Linked DNA regions of Bombyx mori. The protein of the gene in region 1 purifies or fractionates together with the protein of each later gene. This does not show direct contact. Links are inferred from orthologs where the notes say so. Each region holds a gene or a part of one and is shown on either strand. Other genes may lie near its edges.

The links.
Region 2: the proteins of rac GTPase-activating protein 1 (region 1) and protein FAM98A purify together in Homo sapiens (co-immunoprecipitation; 3 studies listed by BioGRID and IntAct, with this or other methods). This does not show direct contact. The link is inferred for Bombyx mori from reciprocal best matches to the Homo sapiens genes RACGAP1 and FAM98A.

The regions. Positions count from the first base shown.
Region 1 is NC_085114.1:3,029,254-3,033,587, reverse strand, and holds the start of rac GTPase-activating protein 1, read left to right. Parts: upstream 1-1,283; 5' UTR 1,284-1,456; coding exon 1,457-1,568; intron 1,569-1,816; coding exon 1,817-2,019; intron 2,020-2,507; coding exon 2,508-2,661; intron 2,662-3,402; coding exon 3,403-3,563; intron 3,564-4,250; coding exon 4,251-4,334.
Region 2 is NC_085130.1:5,588,720-5,593,116, reverse strand, and holds the start of protein FAM98A, read left to right. Parts: upstream 1-1,553; 5' UTR 1,554-1,719; coding exon 1,720-1,757; intron 1,758-2,495; coding exon 2,496-2,728; intron 2,729-3,539; coding exon 3,540-3,676; intron 3,677-3,946; coding exon 3,947-4,082; intron 4,083-4,397. UniProt on the Homo sapiens protein: Positively stimulates PRMT1-induced protein arginine methylation. Involved in skeletal homeostasis. Positively regulates lysosome peripheral distribution and ruffled border formation in osteoclasts.

The DNA.
Region 1 (4,334 bases):
ACAAAAAGAAAAATAATAATTTTTTGTCCTTCAGATTTTTAAACTGGCTTGTATCTTCTTACCTTGGGCCTACGAGCTAAAACTATAACCGGATAAGAAAAGCGATTTAAACTGTAAACAAATGAGTATATTTTTACTATTTTTAATACTACAAGATCTACAAAACAAAGGTAGAGCAACACATGCAACATACATACCATATGAAATCTTTGCAGTGGGAACAAAACGTCGGCTGCTTGAAGAATCTCGGCATGAATTTGTGATCTTTCACCAGGTAAACATTCTTCTTCTTTAGGGCACCCTTGCGGCCTCGCAAACGAAACGCCTGGCCCACTTTCAGGTCACCACCACCGTCATCACAATTATTTTCCTCGTCCGCCATACCGATTCGCGGTCGCGAAATGCGCCGGGAAACTCGAAAATATTATTATCTCACAGGCAACTACTCGCAAGACTGCGAAGCCCACACGGACAGACCGCCGTCCTCAGCCGAATGTCATTGCGATTTGTCAGTTCACTGAAGAGTCCCATCTGTTGTCAATGTCAAAATAAAATATTACCAAGCTATAAAAACAAAATCCTCTAAAAGATTGGGTAAAACTTTTAAGTACCTACCTAGTGAGCCCTAGCAATCCTTTGAAAACGAACTCATTTTGTGATGCAGCTGGTAATTATTATAGCTTTTGCTGCATTTTGTCTTTCACTAAAAGGTAAAATAAATCTGTCTTGAGTGAAGTTTCCGATGTCTTAATTATAGTTTTTTTTATTGTTGAAAGGGTGTTTTTGTAATGATTTTTACAAAAACAATGAATTTAAAATAGGGAAAGGGGTTTCAATCCTCAATAATTTTTATTGCGTATCTTAAACTTATTTAGTGATTCACTTATTATTCAATTTTCAATTATAAATTAAGTCACAATAATAGTAAAATTTCAAAAAAATTCACAATTGCATATTTCTTAAGTACACTATGTAATACACAAAAATGTGTAATAATGGTGGTTTATAAACAGTTTGGCATCTGTGAAAATGCAAATATATGGGGAAATGAAACAAAGCCAATGAATAAAGCTTCTATGGATTTTCCAAAAAGTTCACTGAAAAAGCCTCTGTAAATAGCCCCCATTATACTGAGACTATTGTTTGTCGAATATCCTTTCGTTAATTTAATTTTATCCTAATGGAATAATGTCTGAAATTAATCAACTCAGATCATACAAAAGAATAGGCTGAATGGAACTACGACCATAAATTTGACGTTGACACTTCCGTAGATTAAGATACTTCCTTCAATTTGAAAATCCGTCACTGAATGGTCGTTATTTCAAGTTTATACAGTTGACAAAATATATATTAGTGAATTTATGCATTCATTTCAAAATATAGATTGAAATGCGAAGAAGTGTTGAAAGTTTTGTAGTAATTATTTAATGGAAAAAGCTATATACTTATTAAAATGAGTTCAGAAAATTCAGATTCCGGTCCAAGCATCGCGCTCTCCCTTGTAGCCCAATTTGATGACATCAACCGCTTGAATAATGTTTTAAATGATGGAGCCGCAGAAGAATGTATGTAAAAATTAAACTAAAACTACATTTAACATAGTTTTCTTTAGTTGTTCATTGTAAATGATTAGAATCTACCAACTTTTAATGCGTGTATAAACTACCCACTCATTTTGTGTACATTGTGATTGATGCGTTATAAACCCACCTACATATTCATAAATAATTCGATAAGAGCCTTTAGTATTGTTTTAACGAATGATATTAAGTGACAGAAGGGATCCAGTGAAAATTGTGTTTGCCCTTTGCAGATTTCTTAGCATTCTTAAAGCAAATGGAATGGGTGCGCTGTCAATGGGCAGCAGCCGAGTCCGAGGCTGTTCGCCTTCAAAGTGAGCTTGACGAAGCTCTAAAGACACTAGGCAAGTGGGAATCTAAGTTTGCTCATGTCAGGAAACTGCTTGATGGAGAAAAAAGAGAAAGAAACATAATATTGAAGAAGTACAATGAACTGGTAAGGAAAGTTTGATTATAAAGGCATTTAAAAGTTTATTTTCGTTATAAAATAGTAATAGTTGTTTTCCAAGTCACAGACATGCTTAATTAATACTGTTAATTGATATAGATGTTTTAATTATATAAATAATATACCTATACATATAAGTTAATATCCCGATGGTGTCAAATTGCTCGACCAATTTTGATGAAATTTTCAGATTAGTCTAGCAGGTCATTTTGTGAATTTTGTAGTGATCAGATCCAAGGCAACGATTGACCAGTAAAGTAGGTTGGGTTTGACTTGTATAGTATAAAAATCTATGCAACAGTGTATAGGATTATGGAAAGATATAGAAGTGGCACTCTTAAACAAATAAAATGTACAAATTTGCATTTTCTCCGGTAACTTTTAAGCCATTGAGTAGAAGTAATAGAAAAAAAAACCATTTGGGACATAGTATTCAACTTATGGATATTTATGAAAGTGTATCTGATTTGTTTCAGAGTAAACTACTGGACATGGCCCGTGACCTCTTATTCAATGACAATCGTGCCAAGTTGAATGATGAAACCTTACAGAAGCTTGCATTCCTTAATGGAACTGCTCAACAAGACCACAATGCTAAGCTTAGTGGAGTTCCAGAACTTAATTCTACTGGTAAAAAAATGATTTCGCTTGTTGTTAGGGCACCTCACTGGTACATATGGCCCTCACAAGTTGATGATTTCACTTATTGTGTAATAAAGTTTACGAAAAGATTCTCTTTCTGAAAATTTAAACATCAAAGTTTATATACAGGTTTATTTCACAATTTGTGTCACCCTGATAAATAACAATAAAATTAATGTTATTTAATTAAAACATTGTAGCTTAATTGCAATCATTAGAAAGAGACAGTAATACTTTTAGTAATGCATTTAAAGTCGGATAGGTACTGACATTTCATTACTTTTAAAAAATAATTAAAGCAAGATCTATACAACTAGAGTTAAACAACATCTAACTCACAATTATTTATTTAAAGTAAATACTTCAATTATCATGCACCAACAATTATTATATGCTCTATGTCTTCTAAAAGATGATCTCAATATCAATTTGAAATAAATTTATGGACCAGTAATAATAGTACTGGCCTGCCAACATCATGATTTATTTTAAAGCAAATAGCATTATTCACGCTGTGGTATTTATAGGCCCTATTAAATACACATAACAAGTATTTGAAAAGTATTTAACAAGATTGAGTTTGCCATATCGTGAGTCTATGAAAATAATAATTTTCAATGTTAACAAGTTCAATGTAATATAAAATAATCAGTACTACACTACTTCACTTGTTTTGTGAAAACATTTGCTTAGTTAAATTACAGAAAAAAAAAACCTTAAAATGTCCAGGTACACTACTATCAGAGATGTCATATTCTCGTTCGGAAGATGACCTAGACCTGTCACTGGCTTCGTCTCGACGTTCTTGGGTTCAGCGCGGCGGGTGGCATGCCAGAGAGAACCAGCCCGCCAATAAGAAAAGGCGATCGTCAACTTCCTCTGCTACTAAAGTAAGGGACGGCTTTTAAAAAAACAAGTATCTATAATGTGGGCACTGATGTTATTGTTTGAGACTGTTATGCAAGAGCACTTCAAGTTAATTTAAAAAAAAAAGGATTAATATACATAATATGTATAGTTGAGCTCTAGATTATCTTGATTAATTTTGAATGTCTATAAATTAAGAATCAGTTGGGTATAATAACACAAAGAAAATTTTGAAAATCAACACAATATATATACAATTTTTGTACTATTTGTGCTACATCATACCAAATACTATGGTTCAGCAAAATATGTAATTATATTTTCACTATTGTATAGAGCAGGTTGAAATATGTTTAATATTTCAGAAGAAACAAAATGTGTCGTGGGACACCGGATTGGAACGAAGTTCCTTATTATAAAAATATTAATTTTAATTTCTATTCTATTAACTTTAAATTCTAAAACTGGAGGTTTCGCAACAACCCACGGTCATTTGGTAACGTGCGAACTTATTGTGGTACACTTCATTCACGGTTGTTTGCATAAGAGTTAGTGTATTGCGCAAACAAACACTCTGAGATCGTGGTCAATAAATGATAAAAAAATGTTATTTTTTGTACGTTATTACAAAGTTAAGTGGTACACTGTGTGCATTACTAAAAAAAAAAACTTTCATGTAAGAATACATAATTATGGATATCATTATTCAGACAGTGGAGTTGCAGGGCGGCAAGGTGCTGGCCACCGCTACCACTACACTGACACTGGAACGAGCCCCAACCAACCATGACCTC
Region 2 (4,397 bases), on another chromosome or scaffold:
TACGTCAAAATGTTAATGAGTGGATTTGTAAGCGTGCACGAAAGACTTGAGAGACGTCTTGAAGACGACTTGAGAATCGTCGTGACCTAAAGGATTAGACGTCCGGTGCATTCGTATAAAGCGATGCAACGGTGTTCGAATCCCGCAGGCGGGTACCAATTTTTCTAATGAAATACGTACTTAACAATTGTTCACGATTGACTTCCACGGTGAAGGAATAACATGGTGTAATAAAAATCAAACCCGCAAAATTATAATTTGCGTAATTACTGCTGGTAGGACCTCTTGTGAGTACGCACGGGTAGGTACCACCGTACCGCCTATTTCTGCCGTGAAGCAGTAATGCGTTTCGTTTGAAGGGTGGGGCAGCCGTTGTAACTATACTGAGACCTTAGAACTTATATCTCAAGGTGTGTGGCGCATTTACGTTGTTGATGTCTATGGGTTCCAGTAACCACTTAACACCAGGTGGGCTGTGAGCTCGTCCACACATCTGGCAACAAAAAAAAAAAAACTACCGAAACATCAGAAATTTTCCACAGCTAATTTATGACATGTCATTTCGAGTGAGCGCACCAATATGGAGCTTTATCGTTTTGAGAAATTTCTTAAAATATGTGTTTTATTTACAGGATGGCAGAATATAAATTTAAAGACATAATTCTTGAAATTTGCGTCTCGAAAGTAGTTGAAAGTAAAATTCTTTCTTCTAAGGTTTCAACTATTAGGAAAAAAAAATTGACAGGCTATAGAAGAAATTTCTAAAAGAAAAACGTTCCTGTACATGAAAACGAGAACTGCCGGTTCATTAGCCCGTTGGAATTACAGCGTGTGGAAATGATAACTGGTGGTAGGACCTCTTGTGAGTCCGCACGGGTAGGTACCACCGCCCCGCCTATTTCTGCCGTGAAGCAGTAATGCGTTTCGGTTTGAAGGGTGGGGCAGTCGTTGTGACTATACTGAGACCTTAGAACTATATCTCAAGGTGTGTGGTGCATTTACGTTGTAGATGTCTATGGGCTCCAGTAACCACTTAACACCAGGTGGGCTGTGAGCTCGTCCACATATCTAAGCAATAAAAAAAAAATAAAAAAATAAAAAATTACAAAACCCACTGAAGCCGACACGAAATATGTCCTACCACTAGTAATACGAGATTGGCGACAGAACTATGCGCTGAGAATACTGCTGCTTTTTCTGTAGTGAATCTGTTTTATGTGGGATTCGTGTTTATGAACTTCGATTTTCAATTTACAAAAATCCTGTTCTGCTTTAAGGCATAATAAGTTATTTAGTTATATTATTTATTGTGGTATAATTAAAAAAATTAACATTTACATTCTAACTTTAATTTCACCTTCTACAGCAGACAAAAATCTCATATATTTACGAGGCGCCTCATACAGTTGGAAGCTTTGGGTTCGTGATTTCGTGCCTGTCTATGCGTGCCTGATTCTAATGCGTAATTATTTCATGTTTAGTTTCTGTATTCTTGGTGTTTTGTGGCTTAAAGGAATAGAACGCAGGGCTCCATCCATGAAATGTCTTGACTTCAATTGTCTTATCGATGGTTAAACGTTTAATCTATGAATAAAATATAAAGGACCTGGAACGCCGGCTGAAATCTATTTTTCAGAATTTCTTATCCCAAGTAAAACTGTGTTTTAGTCAGTAATTTAATAAAAAGTACAGAGCTTTAGTAAGAGGTTATTGACTAAAATGGAAAACGAAATATTGGACTCACTTAGCGACTTGAGGTATGTACGGTTATAATTTTTTGTAGGTTTGATCAAGTTAAAATCACCGGTTCTATTATTTTCACTTAAAAATGTTCTTTAAAATGGATAAATTAAGAAACTTTAAAACGACACGTTAGCGTTACCGAAAAACATTTCGCAATATGGTAAATTCAGAATTAATATTGACAGATTCAGTTGGTTTGACTATTTCGATATTCTTCGTTGACAACATAGAATTCCTTAACCTAACGAATACTATTACCTATCTACGAGTATATATAACCTAGCGTTTTTAAGCAATCACGATCAGAAAAAAAGCGGACCATTTTTTTTTTTTTCGGTGTTCCCTCGTCTTATACATAACTAAACCTACTCTCACAGTTCAGTCGTGTATGACCACGAAAACTGTAAAGTGTTCCATATGTCGGAAACAATATAATCACAATAAAAACGCTAGATTAACCATAAAAGTAGTTTTATGTAGTAGTATTGTGAATAATGGTTTTTCTACCTAAAAGAGGTACAATTTACAGTCTTCCACTAGTCTATTTCGTTAATCCTACATGATATATTTCCTTCCTTTAATATATCTTTCTCTTAATATAAAAGCATTGATTTCAATTTTATTTTAGTTTTTTTTTTATAAATACATGTCTATATTAACAGACCTTTAATGTATTAAATTAACCAAGTATGTCATTTGATCTGTAATTTTTTGTGTAAGACAAGTCATAAAACATTAGAAAAAATTTTAAGCTATGAAGGCCCACTCTCCGAAGAAGCTGTCTTTGCAAAGGCTATTGAGGGAGGTGCCAAGTCCCTTGACTTCACCAAACTTGTGCATATATTGGCTGAAGAGTTGAAGAATCTCTGTCACCTCGAAGAGACTGTAAACATGATTAATGATCCAGACGATTCAAGCTCTTTCCTGCTGGAACTTAGTTCATTTTTGAAAGAATTGGGATGTCCCTACAAGAAATTGGTAACAGGTGTGTAATTATTAAACATTAATCACCAATATCTATATATATAAAAATGAATTGCTGTTCATTAGTCTCGCTAAAACTCGAAAACGGCTGGACCAATTTGGCTAATTTTGGTCTTGAATTATTTGTGGAAGTCCAGAGAAAGTTTAAAAGGTAGATAAATATTAAAATGCTTGGAATTAAATGAAAATAACAATTTAGTTTTCCCTTTGATGGGTCTCCCGTTGGACGGATTCCTTTTGTTTGTTTTAAGTTTATACAAAAGCTTAGCTCTTTTATTTATCGATTGAGGCACTACGAAGTCTGCTGGGTCAGCTAGTAATACATAAAATAGAGAGGGTAATCAAAATATTTTTACTTACATAGTCACAATGATTTATTAAATAGTTATTTAATAGTTAGTACCAGTATTCAGAAGCAATTTTATAGCCTGTGGTCTACTAGGGTGTGGTTACAATTATCATTTAAACCAGAGTCAGAATGATGATACCTAGTTTGATGTTATCATGACCTACAGGATAAGTCATCTGGTACATCGGTATTGAACAATGTGATTGTGCCATTTCTTAAATACTACAACATGGTACCAATTTTTCTAATGTAACTAACACACATTCACGAATGATTTCCGTGATGAAGAAATAACAGTGTAATAAAAGTGAAACCTGCAACAATTATAATTTGGATAATAAATGATGGTCAGTGGTGGTCAGGTGGTCTGAATCACCACTGGCTGTGCTTGCAGTAAGGGCTGTTAGTTCAACAACCTTAATGGATTTGTATAATAATAAACTATTAAACTATGTTCAAACAGGTCATATGTCATCTCGACTACAATCTAAAGACGATCGTCTGTTACTGCTTGATTACCTGATCTCCGAGCTCATGGCAGCTAGAATGGTGAATGTAGATCGTCCACAAGATAAGGGCTCAGGCATGGAGATTGTTATGGTATATACTTAATCATTTAATTTCAACCATTTATTTTGAATTAAGATTATGCTGTGTAATTAAAATAGGGCTTTAAGTTTGGAGTCATTATGATCGCCAAATATTTTTGTTCAAGTCTAAATCTTGCATAAACTGGGTGGCCGTCCTTATTCTTGATCTCTTTGGGAGCATATAATTTGCTCAATGCAGAAAATATATTATCTTTAACAGCTACAGTTTATTTAAAAAAACTGAAATTCTAGTCTTCAACAACCATACACTAATTTTCAGCGTGAATCTCCAACAGCCAAAGATCTCAAAGATATATTGATTACTCTAAAATTCAACAAACCACCACCGAATATCACTCCAGAAGTGCTATTCTCCAAGCTGGAAGGAAAGTTAAAGGATACCATACAAAAGGAAGGTAAAAATATATATTTATTTTTGTAATCGAATACATATTGCATATATTAAATTGCTTATAATAAAATACTTTACAGTTTTACTAGATAAGTAGGTAGGCAGCGGCTTGGCTATGCCCCTGGCATTGCTGAAGTCCATGGGCGACGGTGACAACTCATCATCAGGTGGGCCGGATGGTCATCTGCCTACAAGGGCAATAAAAAAAAAGATTTTATATTTTTGATTGATTTAAAAATTTTACTATTTCATTTGATTGATGACATGAGTTATATAATAACATTGATGCGAGCACTCACCTTGTCAGATGAGCTCTAGT